4 linked regions of the Saccharomyces cerevisiae S288C genome follow. Changing the gene in region 2 together with the main gene of any one other region gives a genetic interaction. Each region holds a gene or a part of one and is shown on either strand. Other genes may lie near its edges. The genes, in order: IRA2, SLT2, BEM3 and ECM33.

Region 1 (5,179 bases), on a different chromosome or scaffold from region 2:
CATTGCAAATAATGTTACAGTGTAACTGCAAAGAAGATGATACCCTTCAATACTGATATTCTCATCTGATTCACCATAAGTAATAACATTCGATAATAAGGTATCCATGAATGATTGAGCAGTATTCTGTAAATCTACATCCGGACTTACGATGGCGACGAAAATCGGTTTCATAATATTTCTAAAATCCTGCGAAACCCATTGTAAATTCGAGTTTATATTGTGAGGAATGATGAAGTAACTATTCGGTCTCTTAAAAATACTGAAAATATTAATCATTATTCTTCTAGCATCTTGAAGAGTTGCTTCATTCAAATCTTTTGGTATCAAATGTTCTTGAATGTAATTATTTGTTGATTTCATGAATTTTCCTAAACTTTCATCGGAATAACGCCTCGTTCTTATTTTCTGCAAAGGCGATCGAATTCCGAATGCTGCCGACGATAATGGAGTAGAATTTGTTATGGCCATTGGTGTGGCACTGATGCTTTCCGTTTGCGGACGTTGTACTGGTGAAGATTTTTCCGTTCCTGGAGGTGAAGTCAATGTAGTCGGTATTTTATTCCTTATAATACTAGATGGCCCACCTAAAGCATGACGCGCTCTTGGGGCCACAAGATGTGACAAGTATGGATCAGAAGACAAGTTCTTTGGTGAACTGTTTAATGAATTAACGTTGTCAGAATTTCTTGAAGTACTTGAACCAACTAAAGACAGGGTGTTCATTGGACATATATCAGTATCCAGTCCCAGCGGAGAAACTGGTGTCATTGAACTTTGAGATGTAGATCCTGATCTTGACCGGGTTGTCGAACATAAAGAGGGTGAGCTCCCCTTGAAATGTTTCTTCGTACCATACTCATTGATAATTGTACCGTCAAGAATGGAAGCAACTATGTCGGTGATTTGCTCATCAAAATACGGAAATTCTTGTAAAAGAATATCTGCTATAATGGAGAATAATGTTTTGAAAAATTTAGAAATTTTAACCGCAATTGCCTTCCGCAATTCCTTCTTACTTGGTATGTCGAAGAATATCCTGAATCCTTCAGTATAAAGGCATAGCTTCTGCATGTTTAAATTGTTGGCCATTGTATCGATGCTCAGACGTGCCAGTAATAATTCATGATCGAATTGAATAGCTGAAGAGAAGAATATTAATTGTAATTGAACAAACGTGGTGGAGTTTTTTTTCAAACAAACCATCAAACTGTTATTTATTTTTGAATTCCAGTCTTGACCGACGCTTAAATTTGTCCCCATTATGGGGATGAGTCTCTTGGCAAAAAGTACTGAGGGTAAGTTTCTATCCACGAGAAAGACCGCAGAAGTCATTGTAAAGAATGATAGTAAGGCCCTCATTGTATCTAAGAGGGCAACATCTGATACAGCTTGATTCCCATTTAAATTTCTTAGCAACATCTTCACAAATTTTACAGTTTTTTTGGTTGAGGAAGGTAAAGAAGTTAATTTCTTTAAGCCTTGTGTAATATGTTTTATACCCGAAGTCTTTTCGGAACCTGTCTCGTGTGCAGTATTATTGAAAGAACTTGTTCTTTCTTTTGGACGATGCATAGTACAATCAGGAATATATTTGAATGATGTAGCGTTTAATTCATTAAAAAGGTCAATATCGAACATTGTCAAAGTAGTTAAAAACTTCAGTACGGATGTGTGTGGTAGTACCTCAGTATCATCAAAGTGCGTGTATAACTCCAAAACATTATCCAAACGAGTGACAGACAAAAAATGTTCGTCATAATCCTTACCAGTATGGCCAGTTTTGTGTGCATCGTATGAAGCGCGACTTTGTTGCTCTGCTGTGTATCCAGTTGGGGTGGAATTCGATGGTGAAGCAGCTGCGGCGGCGGCTGCAGCTGCTGAGTTCAACCGCTGTTGCAATTGTGTTGTTGGAGTTGGAGTTTGAGATAATAATGAAGATGCACTAATAGTGATGTTAGACATCGTGGGAGTATCTGGTAAGGAAGGGTCATATTCTCCTGGTTGAGTGTGAGTAGAGAAATCAGTTGTTGTTGAATTAGACGTTGAAGATGACAGTGAAGTAGAGGATTGAGAGTTTGTAGTCCATGAAGAATGTAGTTTTCTTTCAGACTGCTGTTGAATGTATGACTGGTGGTGAGAAAGCTGACGACTTAAGGATTTTGCTATTATGTTTTGATTGTTGTTATCCGATGATGATGAGCTAGGTGGTGACGATGGCGAGGAGGACGAAGGGGAAGATGAGCCTTGATGAGCATTTTGATTGGTGGTTATCATGCTATTCACATTAAAAGTCGAATGGATCTCCTCGAAAAGTGTATGGTTTAACGTGTTTAAGGATTTCGAGTGTTCATTGTTATTATCTTTTAATAAGTTGAAGAGTTCATAATATTCCGCAGGCCTAGCCATTATCCAAAACATTATTGCTTTGGCGCTGTAATGCAAAAGTAGGCAATGATAAATCGTTTTCCTTAACGTCACCGATAAGTTTTTGATGAGTTCCAAGTATTTCTTAAAATTATGCTTGCTTAAATAGATGAAGCTGAAAAGATCAAAGTGGGGCACTATGCTGTTATAAACGGAAGATGGCAAAGAGTGTGAATGGGAGTGTGAATGCGTGTGTGTCTGTGTTACGGGCACTTGCACACTCTTTCTGATAAATTCAAAATACTCGGACGGATTGGAAGCCGCTACAAATCGGAGAATATGGCCTAGAGTAGAGTCAATCATTTTACAATGAGAAGGATGGTTGTGCCTTGTCAGATAGGATTTGTGGCGGGGAAGAATCGAGGAACTCAAAGTCGTTAGAATGTTTCCATGAACATGACTGATCATATTTTGTAAAATTTGCAAAGTTCTTGTATTGAACTTCAACTTCGCGCAACTCTCAAGCAATTTCGATGCCAGTTCCGGTATCAGTGCCTGAGGTTTGCTCTGGTGGAAAAAGTGTTTGTTGCCATTGGAATGAGTCGACGAGTAGTCGGGCAGAATACTGTTAAGCTTTGGTCTGTACTTCTGTTCTTGGTCATGTTCTACGTGAGTCGAAATGTCGTTGTAATGAAGGCTTTCTTGATTTTGCCAATTATACTCTAGCGCATCACTTAACAATCTTAGTATAATCAGTATTGATTCAATAACGTCACTGCTACCCTTATCTGAAATGATTTCGTGCCCTTGAAGAAGCGATTCTATCAACTCCAAGGTGCCTTCCACCATAGCATTTGCATCTCGGGAAACGGTAACGTTAATGAGCACAGATCTGCATGAAATGAATGAGGAATACTCTTCCACTTCCGAATAGGTACTTAGATTAGACTCCACCGGAAGGATCGGGAGAATTCTTTCAAAAAGAATATGATTAACCAACGTCCGAGTCATGCGGGATGACTTGGAATCGGTCCCGTGTTCTTTCTTCTTATTCTTAGTGGGCTGGGACATGCTTCTCCCTGAAGAAAGATAATGTATACAGTTTAGTTGATATCAAAAAATGGTGTAACGTTGGGGGAAAAGTAACACTAAAGGAGAAAAGCAAAACGAATAACAGAGGACAATGCTATATGCTAGTGTGCTAAAATGTGGTTAAATGTTTGCTACAATTGGTGAAAAAGTACTTAAGCCTTGTTCTGATTTTGTTTTCGCTTTTTCGGTCTTTTGTTTCCCAGGAGCTCTAGACAATGAAGTAAGCGGAGAGAATGTAGGGCAATAGGATGTGCTTAACTCCCCGGTTATATGTAGAATAGATAATCGTTGGGCAAAACTTTTCACAAGAAGACACAGCAAAGCTTGGGGTTTTCAAAAAGGCGTGCGAGCTTTATTGTGATGGAAATTTTCGTTTCATCAAGGGAGCGTTCTAGAAGAAACGAGAGCTCTACGAACATTTCTGCGCCGCGGATTGATTCACCGATCGGGTGACCCTTTTTGAGGAGCTACTTTGGGTTGGAATCACACTAAAATGTGTAAGGCGGTCAGTATAGCAAAGAACTTGGGGTGGGACGCTGGTGCCGTGCAAGAAAGGCTACGTGAACCTCGTACTAGTCCAAGATATTGGCTCGATGCATTAATGGCAGACTCTTATCTCGCTAAGATGTTTGAAGGCACATCGGTTCTAGAGGTCCAAGTCCCAACCCAAGTCAAGGCCAAGCAAGGCAAGGGGATTTAGAATAGTTCTATCATTCTGCGGGGAATGAGCGGAAGAGTAAGAGTATTGGTTCTGTTGTGGATGACACTTACAAGGGTAACTACTGTTTTTCTTGTTTTCTTATTTTCTTGTTTCCCTGCTTTTCTCTGGGATCTGTGCGGAAGGCGTCATGTCCCTGCTCGTCCCTGATTGTCCGTACTTTTCTGGTTAGCCGTATATCGTTTGAAAGTAGATGGCATGTATGAAGAGCATGATGCTAGGTGATAAGTAATGAGAGGCCTTAGGAAGTAAAGAGTTTCGAAAAGGGTTATTTTATATTTATTGTATTTATTATATTTAATATATTTATGTGTATGTGAAAAGGTACTCATTGCTGTATAAAAATAGAGTTTGACCTAGAGTTCTTCCCAAGTCAGGGCTTTTTCATTGTCGTCACCGTCATAAGAGAGTGAAATGGATGTACTGATGATACTAGAGTCATCCAGTTCTGGTAACGTATCGATTTGAAAGGAGTAAAATGGCTCTTGGGATGCCTGTAAACTTTCTGCAGATAATCTTGAAGGTGGCCTTAAGTTAATCATTGGAGAAGAGCCATACTTGCCCAAGAAGATCACTTCTCCATACTGATTTTCAATCTCGATAGTGGAGCCGGCCTCTAAATCAAGTGCGTATGGAAAGTATCGGTATTCCTTGTACTCCTTTATTCCTATTTCATGAGGACCCATGTCAATAATTTGCGTGGTTGGCTTATCGCCAGCGTCAGTAAACTTCAGTTTGCAGTTGCCTGCCAAAACAGAGTTTGTGTTGTTAAACAACTGGAAATACAATGAATTGTCCCTTTGGTTCATTGTGATTTGCAATGAGCGCTCATTTGGGGGTTCCACTTCTATTTTAGTTTCCTTTTTCGAATGGTCAGAGGCGATTTCCGTCTTACTGTCACATTCTTGTGATAACCTCTCATAGTCATGGTAACGTTGAAAAACGTCCTCAAGTTGTTTGACTGTTTTCAACTCTGTGAAAAAGTTCACTAGTTCGGACCTA
Region 2 (3,958 bases):
CTTCCTTTTTAGGGCCCGCTAGGATAATTCCCACATGGTCATTCTGTTTTGTCTGGTGTGCAAGCATAGCAAAATTTGGGTTTGCATTGAAGCAAGTTTCTGCATCTTCTACTAGCGCCACGATCCACTCTGGCCCAGTATGTAAAAGAGCAGGAGGCTTTATGAATTTCAAACCAATCGCTTTTTCATAATCAGCAATCATCTCACTCGATATACTTTCGTAATCAGCCATCGGAGCTTTGAAGCTAATTAGTCCCTCATTAATTGTTATTGGAACAGCGCCTATTTTACATTCCTGGACGAGAGAAGTCGCAGTGGTGTTTTTGGTGAACTCAAGGAAAGCCTTACATGAACCAATGGTTGGGTGACCAGCAAATGGCAATTCACTTCTTGGAGTAAAGATCCTCAACTTGTAATCATACTTTTTATCAGATGGTTTAAATAAAAACGTTGTTTCTGATAAGTTTGTCCAGTTGGCAATTGCCTGCAATTCTTCTTGACTGACTTCATTTTCATCAATTTCCAAGAAGTTTATTACTGCTACTGGATTTCCCATAAAGGGCTTCTCAGTGAATACATCAACTTGTTTGAAAGGTACCATTAAAGTCATATTCTAAGCGCTTGGTTTTTTTTATCTTATCTTCCTTGTGTCATATTTAGACATTTAGTTTAGTATTCTAGGTGCTTAAATAATGAATATTGTCTATAGATGACTAATCATAAATGAACGAAAAGAAAGAATTCAAGAGGCGATAACAAACTTCCGCGGAGTACGATTAAGATAAGCGTCGGAGGAGGAATTTGATATACGAGCTACAACAAGAGCACGTATATATATATATATTTGTATACGTTCATATACATCATATATACACATTGTCTGTAAGCTTACATCTATGGTGATTCTATACTTCCCCGGTTACTTATAGTTTTTTGTCCTAAAAATATTTTCTATCTAATCCAAACTCCAGCTCTTTTTCAAGGTCTAGAAGCGTGCCGTTATCATTCTGAGGCGGAATATCTGCGGTATTTCCAGTGGCAGGTCTCATCTCCATCATACTCTCTTGAGGTCGAGGTGGGAAATCTGCATCATGCCTTGGCAAATTTTGGGAGTGAATACCAAATGATTCTTGTTGTGGCGCAACAGAATTAGACGTGGCCATCTGTTTTGGATAATTTTCTTCACTCGCTGCGGCGTTGCCATTATCCACATCTGAAGGCTGCTGTTGCTGTTGCTGTTGCTGTTGCTGCTGCTGTTGCTGCTGCTGTAATTGTAATTGCCTTTGCTCTTCTAATAGCGGTTGTCTCACAAACAGCCTGAAATCTTGCACTTCTTGTATAACCATTTGTTTTAAGTCCTCCATATCATTAACCGATTCAAAACTAAATTCGAATTTTTCACTACACACAGGTTCGTCAGCTGGATCATGCCATATAGACAAGTAAGGATGCTCCAGGGCCTCATCCACGGTAATTCTCTTTTGAGGGTCAAACGCGAGCATTTGCTCCAATAAGTCTAATGCTTGTGAATTGGCATTTGGGTATAAATTGACAAAAGGTACTTTTGGAATGAAACCTAATTGATGTATGTAGTCCTGAACATTTTTAGAACCAATCCTTCTTAAAGTTTCGTCTGGGGGTGTCCCTAAAACTTGTAATATTTGATTCAATTGATTAACGTAATCCTTTCCTTTGAAGATTGGCTTTCCACCAAGAAACTCCGCTAAAATACAGCCAGCTGACCATACGTCAATCGCCTTGGTATATCCTTGGTAACTCAACATTATTTCCGGAGCTCTATACCATCTAGTGGCCACGTACTCCGTCAAAAATTGACTGTTTTCGACAGGATTCTCCGAATAACCTCTAGCTAACCCAAAATCACAGATTTTCAATTGACAATCTGCATTGACAAGCAAATTGCCGGGCTTCAAATCACGATGCAAGACATCTGCAGAATGAATATACTTTAAACCACATAATATTTGGTATGTGAAACTTTGATAGTGAGCATCCGTCAAAGGTTGACCGGATTTGATGATTTGGTGCATATCACATTCCATAAGTTCCTCATAAAGATATAGTCCATTGATAGACCCGTCTGGATAAAAAACAATATCCATATCATAAAGACATGTAATATTTTTGTGGCCTCTGAAATGTCTCAAAAGCTTTAGCTCACGTAGGGATCTTTTACATAGTAAGGTCTTCGAAAAAACGTTTGTCACTTTCTTGATGGCAACTGTGGTATCTTCGGCAGCTTCTGCAAACCGCGCTGAACACACTATGCCGTATGCTCCATGCCCTATTTCTTTGATAAGTTGAAACCTCTTATCTACACTGAAATCTTGATTGAAGACCTTGAAAGTATGCCTCTCTATCTTATCAGCCATCTCCCAGAATTGTTATACACGCCCTTCAATTATTTCTACTATTTTGATAGCTTCAATAAGAAAATCTGTGGCCTAGATTTGCTGACTGAATGCACAGTTCGTCTAATATATATATATATCTGGCAGACCAGGGTCTTCAATTAAATCTAAATATTTGTGTAGGATCTGATTTCCCTCACTTTTTTTTTCGATATATTCCTGGCTAGATCTCCTTTTTCAGTTTCTATTTTTAACACTGAAACTTTCCATTCTGCCAACATTTCGCAGTCTTCTATAAAAAAAAAAAAAGATAATATAAAAATCGCCGCATACGTAGGCTTAGCTAAATAGATGGCTTCTAGATGAATATTTCGGGATTCTGTTAAATTATACAGATAGGCTCACAAGTATTCGAACCTGTATAGAACAAGAAAAGAAAACTTCAACTAGAGTATATGCATTTATTCGTTGCAAGTCATTTCAAAGTTTCTAAACGTTTATAGAAATCTTTTACTCTTTCATTGGTGCGAATCTTTCCTGGATCAAAGTTTAGGACCTGTAAGGTGTCCATAGTTACCGCTCTTGACAGTGCAACATAAACTTGGCCGGCTTCGAAAATTCTCCTCAAGTCGACCTTTAGTCTTTGAATAGTTTGACCCTGTGCCTTATGAATGGACAGTGCCCAGCATAGCATTAATGGAATCTGAGTTCTTTCTAACCCGACATTTTCTCTGGGAATATCAATGGGAAAGCGCTCTGGGACCATGAGCTCATGTATGTACTTGTTTTTACCCACTGTCCACCTCACATAGGGGAATTTTTCCTTATGCGGAGAGATCTTAACTGCATAGTTTATCAAGATTTTCAAACGTTCCAATCTAGCTAATGGCCTGGCATTCAAATCTTGACGAAACTCCTTTGATTCCTTTAACAAGGGATTACCAATGACCCGACTCACTAATCTCATGTCCATGACAACTTCGTCATCCACAATCTTGTAAATTTCCTTCATTTTCACCACCAGCGATTCTGTAACAAAAAACAAAACTTTTCCCAATGATCCATTAACTAATTCTACATCAGGCTTATTTTTCAACATCATTACCTGTGCATCTTCCTTCAATGCGACAACTTTTTCCACCATTAATGAAGAATCTAGTATCGCTTGGTATCTCTCGGGCGCGTTATCTACAGCTTTAAACTCATATAAATCACCAGGTAGAGACTGTAATTTCTTTACGTTGGATAGTTCAACTTCTCTTCTTGTGGCATACAGTTCTGTAGGAGCAATTCCATCGGCATAGTCTATATCCCTATTTAGGTTCCTTATTGTTTTAGCAATGTCGACAGTCAGCTCTCCGTATCTTATGGCATTTAGAATATCAATTAGTTTGTTATCCTGTTGTCTGAAAACCTTTGTCAGTAAAATCGTTTTTTGAATGCACCGTTTCCACATTTCACTTTCAAAACAAAATTTCACAACGTTATGCTCGTCCTTCTTAGCAACTGGTGGTAGTTGAAAAAAATCGCCTGTCAGGACCAATTGAATACCACCAAAGGGATCGTCGTTCTTCCGAATTCTCCTT
Region 3 (6,231 bases), on a different chromosome or scaffold from region 2:
AGAAAAAAATTGGAAAAACTCGCACCAACGCCGTCTACAAGGTAATGGAATGTATAAAATTCCCTCCAATACGAAACCGCATCGCATAAGACAGCCTCAAAACGCAAATACACCAACTTATGACGATAGTGATATATCAATGATTTCTCATGTTTCAAGAAAACATACAACAAGAAGTGGTGGAAGATGGTGATACCAATGCATATATAATGTTGTCTTGAACCCACTAAAGAAGTGACGCATATATTACTTTTTTGTATTTAGTAACACAATTTTTCTATTTTTATATTTCCTTGTATAGTTAGTAATTTTAATTTTTTTCCTTCTTTATCTCAGCTCTTCGACCATTTGGTCAAGAAGTTAGTTTTTTTCTCTTATTTTATTTGACAATATACTAATTTTATTATATGGTATTGTAAATAACATTTGAGGAATAAAAAGACAGTCACTCTATAAGCTTTATCAGCCTGACATTTTTTTATTATTACAAATATATCGTTGAAAGAAAGAAGCCTCTATACATCTCGCCCTCTTTCTATCATTAAATCAATGGAGGTTTACTGGCAACGTTATATTTCTACAATTTTAGACCATCAAACCTGAGGAATATGTATATCTACTTTCTCCCTTTCCTCTTCTTTAACTGGTTCACCACCCTGAAATATACACGCAAAGTCAGTGATGAATGGTTGAAGCATACTAATTGGAATATTTAGAGTTGGGGAAAACACGATGCATAAATTTCTTAGATTCATCTTATTAAACTTACTATTCTCATTGATCCTTACCAGCAGTTCAAAAAGAGCATACATCAACGATAGGTTAGCGTGAGGAACTAGGCCAGATTCAATAAGTTCCTTAAACCCCAATGATATTTGAACAGGATTATTATGATTTTCATCAACTACTCTTTTAAACGACAAAAATTGTTCGTCACCAAATAATAAATGGGGCAACTTTCTCAAGTACAACTTTAGTAACCCACTTACAGTATTCACACCAATGTAAAGACTTGGAGATGCCTCATCATCTTTAGCTTCAATACTTTCATTGTACCGACATAAATCTACATCGTACTCTTTATCAAACCTTTCTTGTAAAGTTTTGATAACTGTACTGGACCCGCTTAGTCTAAATATGCCTTCTTCCTGGATACCACGGTTTTTGTAAAGATACTCTAAGCAACGATAAACTACACTCGGTAAATCGTAAACGTTTTGGTACTTATGCGAACTCAATCTTAAACACGTTTCTAGTGACGAGCCAAATATTGCAGTGGACACATGTGGACCCGTAGAAGAATTTGACGAAGAGGATACTTCCATTAATTTTTTGCTTGGTGACTTAATGATAGAGTCAGGAGATGTTGGAGAATCCGAATCATTTGAAATTGTAATACCTATATGGTTCATTGCACTCGCCGGGCCGGTTAATTTTTTAAAAGGGAATAAACTTCTCATTTTGGCTCTCCTACTATCCTTCTCCTCCTCTGCATTCCCGCTTGAACTTGCTAGGAAGTTAGAGTGAGAAGATGGGTTTGAGTCAATACCATCGCTATTAGCAATGTTATTGCTACTATTACTAATATTGTTATTATTATTATATTCTTGGGTCAAATCAGTGACATATGATGGAGTATCGGTTGCTGAGATAGTTGCGTTTCCAAATTTAGAATGGTGTGTTCCTGCGCTCAAGTGAGATGCAGAATCAGTATCGTTTGCATTCCTCGAGCTAGATAACGATAAACTTTGTGAAGGATCAATGTAATCACTAAACGCAGAAAGCCATAATTCACGTTCCTTCGACGTTTCAGTACAAATATAATACTTTGTTGAGGTTGACAGTCCGCTTTTCTTATGCTCAGTGATCAAAAACCCATTTCTCGTTCCAAATCTATCTTCAGGGAGATTGGGTATAAGTTCTATAGAAGATTGTCTCAATTTAATAGTTTCAGTCAACTGATTTTTGTCAAACAATTGTAAAACATCATCGCGCAAAATACCGTACCGAACTCTCCATGTACTATTACCTGTTAGAGTCTTTGGTCTTCTCAGCAAAAGTGATCCGTCTTTCACATTATCATCCATCATTGGAGGTGTCATTACTGTATCTGTACTAATAAATTGGGCGATTTTTAAACCAACATTTTTGGGAAATTCAGGGACACTGAATATGCTTGTATAATACTGATTCAATATGTTCTTTCGCGTATCCACTTTTGTAGGTGATAAAGTCTGAAATAATTGTCTATCAGGTAACGTGGGCAATGGTAAATCGGGAACATGTGATTTCATATATACATCTAATTCGCGAACTTTATGAATAGATTTTGAAAATTTAAACATCTCCTTACCGGATTTCCTGTCTATGATTGCAATTAAAATGGATAAATCATCTTCATTATCCCTGTACAATGTGCTCAGTACTTCAATCTGGATAGTGCCAAAATCCTCCGGTTGAACGAATAATGGAATATCCGACTTAAGACTTTGGGCCACAGACTTCACGGTGCTCACGCTACTTGCATGAGGTCTTCTAAGTGTCTTCAACGAACCTTGGGGTGTTGAGCTAAATGTATTCAAGGTATTGGTTGAATGGATGGATGCCGTTTCTCCAAGTTGTTTTTGTTTTGATGAACTTTCCACGGGAGGATTTGGAGGAAGAGAAGCATTTTGACTTGTTGTTGACAATTTTGTAGAAAGATTGGGGAGTGATGAAGTTAACACAGGTTTCTTTAAATTTTTTGCACTTTGAGCACCAAAATTATCATCCTTTTTATTCAAGATAACCGGAGAAGCCAAATGGCTTGATAAAGGAGTAGAGTTTTTTATATTTCCACTAGAAGTAGGTGAGAAAAAAGTTGGAGGCGCTGGAGGTGGGGGTAAAGATTCGTTAATCGTGGATTTTATGGACAGAGGATCTTTACTGTCCGTATTGACTAGATCCTCTTCGCCAAATGAGGAGTCAAGTAATTGGGTGAAGTCGTCAAGTTTTTCTTTAGATGCTGGAGAGAAACCCAAAGCCTTGTTTTCACCCTCCTTGACTTCCAAAAGGGATGATGGACTTTTGGCTGCTGAAGTAGGAGTTCCAGTAGTGTATGCAGAGGATGTTATAGAAGAATAAACGCGGTCATTTTTTTGTATCGCGTCATTAGTTAGTTGTTGACTTTTACTTTCAGTCAGCTCATCTAAATTATTAGAGGTACTGGCCTTTAATGGAGAATGCAAATGGTTGTTGATAACAGCCGTCATTCTGTTAGGATTTTGAGGGGAACGCAAACGTTCTTGCAATGGAGATTTCGAACCTTTATTAGGTGATTTTATGGTTATCCTAGACGTCGTATAGGTAACAGAGGCAGCTGGGCTAGCCAACTGTTCTGAATGTATTTTTGTAGGGCTTGAGACAGATCTATTGATAATTTTGGGAGATGAGAAGCTACTATTTGCTTCTATTTCATCGTTTAGTATCATGTTCTGTAAATGCTTCCTACTTATTGAAGTATTTGATGTAACACCTATTTGAGGTACTGTAGGCGTTACACTTGTTTCAAGTGCAACGTCTGAACCTTGTTGCAATGGAGGGGACAATGTCGGTATTGGCAAATTAAGACTCTTGATATGCGCTTTCCTTTCAGCAGATCTTGGGGGTAACACAAATGATTGATCGTTAACGTATGAATCTCTTGAGTCATTTTGAACTTGCTCAAGCACAACTTCTAAGGAAGCTTCTCTGTTTTTTTGTAACATATCAATAACCTTTTCCAAACTCTCAATTTCAGTTTCATATTCTTGGACTTGTAGCTTTAGCTTAATGTTTTCCGTAAAAATTTCATCATAGGACGGATTTCTTTCTTTTCCTGAACATGTTCCTTTTTCTATATGTTCTATAGATTTGTCCTTTTTGGATCTATGATCATTGTACTGCGCCAACAATTCAAGGGTGGTACTACCACCATGAGTTGTGGTCAAATTATCTGTCATTGCGTGCTGTTAGTTGAGTGTGAGTTTATTCTAGAATATACACACAGATACTCCTAGCAGCCAGTGTTTCAACAAACGTGATGTTGTATATGCCTGATGTAATCACGAACTCGAACAAAAGGCAAAATGGTAGAAGGCAAGGACAAAGAAGAAAAGAGAAAAAACTTCCAGATACAAAGCTAACACACAAAGGTAAACGGTGATTAAAATGGATATATCGTTGATGTATTTAACAATCTTGAAAAATTCCGTTTAAAAAACATACCAATACGCGCAATAAAAACGGTTCTTATCTGGTACTTTACCTAGTCAGACGATTATTGTTCTTTATAAAACGGCCGCGTTTTTTTTCCAACATCACCGCCGCCATATAACTTTCGACATTCTTAGAGTTGTGGTATAAAGAGCAATGCATATACGTATGTAATCCTAATTGAAATGCTATCTTTGTAACATAATGAATGGTTCAGTTGAGCACATACTTACCATCACCTCCCTCGACAAATATGTCCTGCACATTCTCGAGTGTGATGAGTGTCTGCTTTATGACCATGTCGGCAACTGTGCTGCCGATATGTGGCAAAGCTGTAACATCCCATCTGCGAAGTAACTCTTGCTTAACGCGTGTTTCCTCATTTTTAAACACATCGAGACCACAGCTTGCCACTTTTCCAGATTCAAGAGCGTCTAGTAGCACATCTTCATCTATGCATGTGCCTCTCCCAACGTTAACTATCCTGACACCATCTTTACACCAGGCCAAACTTTTACGATTGATAATATTGTTTGTAGAGGCCGTACTGGGCAAGGCCAAAATGATCAAATCCGCATTCTTCCAAGTATTTGGATCATCTAGATCAGAATGGTACTTAGCGTTGTAATCAAGTAGACTCTTTTGGACGGGACCGGTCCTTTTGTAGTATTCAATGCTCATGTTGAACACTTTGTGCAAGTTAGACCCTATATTTTGTCCGATGGAGCCAAACCCCAATATTAGAACTTTTTTATTCATTGGAGATTCCATTTTTTTCCCGCCAACCGTGTACTTTTCTGCTAAATGTACCACTTTCCTATCCTTGTTAGGCTTGCATTTGTCTGTTCGAGAGGGAAATTTCATTTCCTGACCGTGGTAACTATCTGTAACAATTTCATACGAGTCACTAGAGATATATTTCTTACACTGTTCAACATTACCATTTTCCACGTATTTAAAACAATATTCCCAAAATGAAGTCATTCTAAAGCAGCTAATTGCTAGGAAAATAGCCAATTCTGTGACATGGTCAGCAGCATGTGGTCCAATGTTGCATAAAGTGATACCTTTCGATCTTAATAACTTACCGTCAATAAAGTCACAGCCGACCCATGGTACAAGGATTACTTTTAAAGATGCGGGGAAGAATTCAATATAACTCGAAGGGTTTCCTAACACAGTGAAAAACTCCTCAGTGAGCCAAAAGCCGTTTATTCTATGAGTTTCCAAAAATTTAACAAAATCATCCTTTGTGGACATCTCATATTTATAGAATTCTACCCTTTCTGCCAGTTTGCGATATTCAGGAAGATGACTGGCGACTTCCCATTGGGTTTTATAAGGCACCAAAATTCTTGGTTTGGCAGAATAAGTTACATCTGCTATGTCAATTGAAGTAATCATTGTTATTTAAAGGTTGCTACTTTTGTACACTCAAGTATTTTTCTGTATTTGAGAGAGAGCTATTTGTACTCCACACTCCACCTTTTAGATCTGCGTCAAAGTGTCAGAATAAACATACCGTAAAACGGAATGACTACCGCCACCCCAATGACATAAAAACGGAAGAAAAAGAGCAAAAACCGAGCGCCAAACTATCTTATTCAACGAATCAAATAACAATACAAATGCAGAGGTAAAACATTATTCGCCACATATATATGTACATATCTATATGTATACATATTTTTATATATCAATCTTTTGAAGAGCAAAGTGACCTCTTTGTTGTTATCCAAAGTTTAACCAGTCCAGTTAAGCCGGATCCCAGGGACAGAACGGCATACGTTCCCTTTGGAGTTTTTAAATTTAGAATATCTGATGTATTAGCCATGCAATCAAACGATAATCTTGCAATATCTAAATAAACAAGTGTCTTTTCATCCTTGATGGCCTTTAGTTGTTTGTGTATTAACACCTCTGCGTCGTTATTAACATTTAGGTCATTTAACAACTGTTTCCTAATTGGCGATTGTGAGCCATCGTCTTTATGGGCCT
Region 4 (4,515 bases), on a different chromosome or scaffold from region 2:
AATTGATGTGCAGATTTTGCCAGGGGAATAATTGGATTCTAGCTGAAAACTACCTAAAACATTTATTCTTTGCGCACGGCATTTTGTCTGAATTTAAGCCTCACACTTTATACCATTTCGAGTCTAAGCTGTTAAAAATCCAGGGAAAACTTAATTTCAAAATTCAAGTATTAAAAGAGCCAGAGTTTAGCAAAAAAATTTTGAACTCTCTTACTGTATCCATCATTCCCTCTCCTTTGGCCTACTACACTCAAACGTTGAACGGGGGATTTAGGAGAATCCATGTGAAATGCCCCCACTGCGAAAATTGGATCCGTTTGGGTTGGTGTGAATACGATGAAATCATTAGGGATTCCTTTCAGGATTTCGAGTCTCTAAGAAACCTCAATGCTGATTATAATGGGATGTCGTATATTCAAACACGCAATAGAGAAGACATTGAAGGTATATACGAGAATTATTTTACACACTACATCCAATGCGACTTAGCCACGTTCCGAACGAAATGTTTATATGTCCAAGTTATAACAAAAAGCAATTGATTGTGTACGCAAGATATTAAAAATAAATGATCATATAACAAATCAAACAAAATTTGCCGCTAGTAACGAACTAAACGATTACGAGACGGCTGATAAATACTAATATTCACCATCCTAGCGAAGAAACGCTTTAAATTTATAACGGTTACCATCCAAAATAATGAACATAAGCAGATCTGGCACCGTAGCAGCTCATTGGGGAAAAAAAAGCTGTCATGTAGGGCCCTCTGAGCATAATAAAAAAAGAAGATGCTTCCGTTCAATAACAGCGATAGGTAGATGGGGGAAAAAAAGGAGAGGAAGATGAGGCCCTTATGTACGTGCATATATATGTGCGAGTGCACGAAAGTGCACCACGGCAATCCGCGTAATCAAGCTTATGTAAATGGCGTGTCTGCGTAAACTCTGTCCCTGCGAAAATGTGTTTATTTATAGACTGTTCGCATTGTTTTTTCCAGCCCCCATCCGGAGACGCATGAAAAGGTGTGGCCTCGATACATATTGTTAAACCCATCAACCTAGCTTGTAGCCAAACAAATCAGTCAACTCTCTCATAGCTCTTTCAATTTTAATTACCAGTAGTCCGTAAGGGAAGCTACCTTCCGCAATGAACAATAGCAAAAGGTCGCTATTGGGTATCTGTGCGACACAGGTATGTAAATCTTCCATTTCGTAAGTATATATTTTTGTCTTAAAGGAGTCGATTTCCACAGGGTAACAGCTATTGGAGTGCTGTTCCTCAGTATCGTTTTCATCCTCTGACCACTTATCCTTAATCAATAAGCTCATCATTTTCAAGTTATTGACCGAGTTTATTTCGTTTATGGAATTTTTCGGTACATCGTTGTTTGACGTCGCATAGGACAGTATACCCCCATTAGTGGCGGTTATAATCATAGACGATTGCAAAGACGATGTCTTGAAGTCTACCGAATGCAAATCATACGGTTTCAAAGTGTTTTCCAGAAACCCTTTAACGTTTTTAGAATGGAGCATCACCATATTGCTTCAATATTTTGGATACCGTTTGCTGCTGATAACTGCCTTTTTTTTTTCTTCTTATCTTCCCTTAATTAATTCATTAGAGTCTTTTTAGCTTATATGCCAAATGAAGCAATTGTTTTTCTTTTTCTTCGTCTCTCTCTCCATATTCACCTGTTACCCAGAGGGCACCATTCATATCATTATCAACGTAAAATCTGCGAATTACCGTAAACCGCAAAAAAAAAAGGATGGCGGGCAGTATCATCCTTCACGACCCGGGTGGCTGCTGCGCCCTCGCGAAAAAGAAATGAAATGGAGTGCAAAAACGGGAAAGACGCGCCACCGTTTCTGGCCCACGCGCTCATTCTCAGTGGCCAGGCACTAGAGACAGGACTGAAACCGCGTTACCACAACAAACAAAGGCAACGTGCAGTAAACAACCATCCCTCCTGGGATCGAAATCAAAAGTACAAACCTCAGATCGAACTGAAAAATTTTCGGTAGCGTGCTTGAGCCGGTATAAATATTCAATGTCAAACACCTACGACTTTTCGCAATCAACGGACCTCTCTTGCATTTTTGTATTTAATATGTGAAGATCTTTCCTCTGCATTTTCTTTCCTTCTTTATCTTTCTTGGCTTTTCACCCTTTCTCTTCTTTTTAGAACATCATCTTTGAGTACTTCGGCCACTTTTAGAAAAGAAATTAAATAAAAGAGTTAATCGTTCATTCGCTTCTACACAGTTTAATCTTTTCCATTTTTCTTTCAACAAGTCCCTTTGAGCTATCAAGAATACGTTTATTTGACTTTTAAAGATCTAGTTTTAATTTTACTATTATTCCGCAATGCAATTCAAGAACGCTTTGACTGCTACTGCTATTCTAAGTGCCTCCGCTCTAGCTGGTATGTACACATTCTCCTTTTTTTTCATCTTTTTTTCTTTATTTGCCTCTTTCCTCACAAATCTCGAGTAGATTCGTGGTCCTCTTCATTCTTTTCTTTTTTCTTTGTCGATTACTGGGCTTTTTTTCATAGGTCTCGATTGACGCGGACGGACAATGCGAAAAAAAAAAATTTCCAAAAGAGGAAACGGGTTTCGAGATCTCGTGAGGATGGTTTTGGAATATTCTTCAATATTTCTGCCTGTCATAGGATTAGGGCGAGTAATGAAACAGAATAATACATGTATAAATCGATCGGGAATACTAACACTACTTTTCTTTATCTAAGCAGCTAACTCAACTACTTCTATTCCATCTTCATGTAGTATTGGTACTTCTGCCACTGCTACTGCTCAAGCTGATTTGGACAAAATCTCCGGTTGTAGTACCATTGTTGGTAACTTGACCATCACCGGTGACTTGGGTTCCGCTGCTTTGGCTAGTATCCAAGAGATTGATGGTTCCTTGACTATCTTCAACTCCAGTTCTTTATCTTCTTTCTCCGCTGACTCTATCAAGAAAATCACCGGTGATTTGAACATGCAAGAATTGATCATTTTGACCAGTGCTTCTTTCGGTTCTTTGCAAGAAGTAGACTCCATTAACATGGTGACTTTGCCTGCCATTTCTACCTTCTCCACCGATTTACAAAATGCTAACAACATTATTGTTTCTGACACCACTTTGGAAAGTGTCGAAGGTTTCTCCACTTTGAAGAAGGTTAATGTTTTTAACATCAACAACAACAGATATCTAAACTCTTTCCAATCTTCCTTGGAAAGTGTCTCTGACTCTTTACAATTCTCTTCCAACGGTGACAACACTACTTTGGCCTTCGACAATTTGGTCTGGGCTAACAACATCACTTTGAGAGATGTTAACTCTATTTCTTTCGGTAGTTTGCAAACTGTTAACGCTTCCTTAGGTTTCATTAACAACACTTTGCCAAGTTTGAACTTGACCCAATTGAGCAAGGTTGGTCAATCTTTGTCTATCGTCTCCAACGATGAATTATCCAAGGCCGCTTTCAGTAACTTGACTACTGTTGGTGGTGGTTTCATCATTGCTAACAACACACAATTGAAGGTCATTGACGGTTTTAACAAGGTTCAAACTGTTGGTGGTGCCATTGAAGTTACTGGTAACTTCTCAACCTTGGACTTATCTTCTTTGAAGTCTGTTAGAGGTGGTGCTAACTTCGACTCTTCTTCCAGTAACTTCTCCTGTAACGCTTTGAAGAAGTTGCAAAGTAACGGTGCTATTCAAGGTGACTCTTTTGTTTGCAAGAACGGTGCCACATCTACCTCCGTTAAGCTATCCTCTACTTCTACTGAATCATCCAAGAGCTCTGCTACATCTTCCGCTTCTTCTAGTGGTGATGCCTCCAATGCTCAAGCTAACGTTTCAGCTTCCGCTAGCTCTTCTTCCTCTTCTTCTAAGAAGTCTAAGGGTGCTGCTCCAGAACTTGTTCCAGCCACTTCATTCATGGGTGTCGTTGCTGCTGTTGGCGTTGCCTTACTATAAGATTAAAGCAACAATTTGTGTTTCTATTATTACTTTAATTTCTTCTCTAATGATTTCTTTACCATTCCTTTTTTATTATGAGACGGTTGGTTCATCACTGAATTTTATATGTAGATAAAATTTTAGTGTCGTTAATATCTCTTTTATTTCTTATTGTTACTATATTATTACTGTTTTGAAGTTCCAGTTTCATCAACTTTTGCTACCTTAATTAAAAGAACCACTCAGACTTTTTACCATCCTTTAGCTTTACCTAATATAATGAAATTTGTCTAAGTAACATAAAAAAAAGGAGTAAAGAAAAAAAAAAAATAAGTAAATGAAATAAAATATAAAAAAATTCTTACTACGGTTTAAAACAAAGTGCTCTTCCGCTAACGTTTCAAGTTTCTAAAGAATCGTTAGGGCCTTTTAACGGATCGCTTTTTTAAAACAGTAAAACGTTATTTATAGTTATTTATACCAACTATTTCTCGAAATTCGTTTTTAAAATAACTGCCATCTTTACTGCTCTTCTGCTCC

What was found.
Region 1: mutations in SLT2 (region 2) and IRA2 together harm fitness more than expected from each alone (negative genetic interaction), as found in Saccharomyces cerevisiae (6 studies listed by BioGRID, with this or other methods).
Region 3: mutations in SLT2 (region 2) and BEM3 together harm fitness more than expected from each alone (negative genetic interaction), as found in Saccharomyces cerevisiae (5 studies listed by BioGRID).
Region 4: mutations in SLT2 (region 2) and ECM33 together harm fitness more than expected from each alone (negative genetic interaction), as found in Saccharomyces cerevisiae (5 studies listed by BioGRID, with this or other methods).

Annotation. Positions count from the first base shown.
Region 1 is NC_001147.6:169,329-174,507, reverse strand, and holds the start of IRA2 (Ras GTPase activating protein IRA2), read right to left. Parts: upstream 3,439-5,179; coding exon 1-3,438. Other genes in the region: ATG19 (Atg19p), read right to left, coding at 4,534-5,179. UniProt on the Saccharomyces cerevisiae protein: Inhibitory regulator of the Ras-cyclic AMP pathway. Stimulates the GTPase activity of Ras proteins.
Region 2 is NC_001140.6:167,952-171,909, forward strand, and holds SLT2 (mitogen-activated serine/threonine-protein kinase SLT2), read right to left. Parts: upstream 2,394-3,958; coding exon 939-2,393; downstream 1-938. Other genes in the region: YHI9 (Yhi9p), read right to left, coding at 1-610; RRM3 (DNA helicase), read right to left, coding at 2,848-3,958. UniProt on the Saccharomyces cerevisiae protein: Serine/threonine protein kinase involved in a signal transduction pathway that plays a role in yeast cell morphogenesis and cell growth.
Region 3 is NC_001148.4:331,507-337,737, forward strand, and holds BEM3 (GTPase-activating protein BEM3), read right to left. Parts: upstream 3,981-6,231; coding exon 594-3,980; downstream 1-593. Other genes in the region: HOS3 (histone deacetylase), read left to right, coding at 1-193; YPL113C (glyoxylate reductase), read right to left, coding at 4,447-5,637; PEX25 (Pex25p), read right to left, coding at 5,930-6,231. UniProt on the Saccharomyces cerevisiae protein: GTPase-activating protein (GAP) for CDC42 and less efficiently for RHO1. Negative regulator of the pheromone-response pathway through the STE20 protein kinase.
Region 4 is NC_001134.8:390,750-395,264, forward strand, and holds ECM33 (Ecm33p), read left to right. Parts: upstream 1-2,373; coding exon 2,374-2,431; intron 2,432-2,761; coding exon 2,762-3,993; downstream 3,994-4,515. Other genes in the region: ECM8 (Ecm8p), read left to right, coding at 1-542; SLM4 (Slm4p), read right to left, coding at 1,056-1,544. UniProt on the Saccharomyces cerevisiae protein: Required for proper cell wall integrity and for the correct assembly of the mannoprotein outer layer of the cell wall. Important for apical bud growth.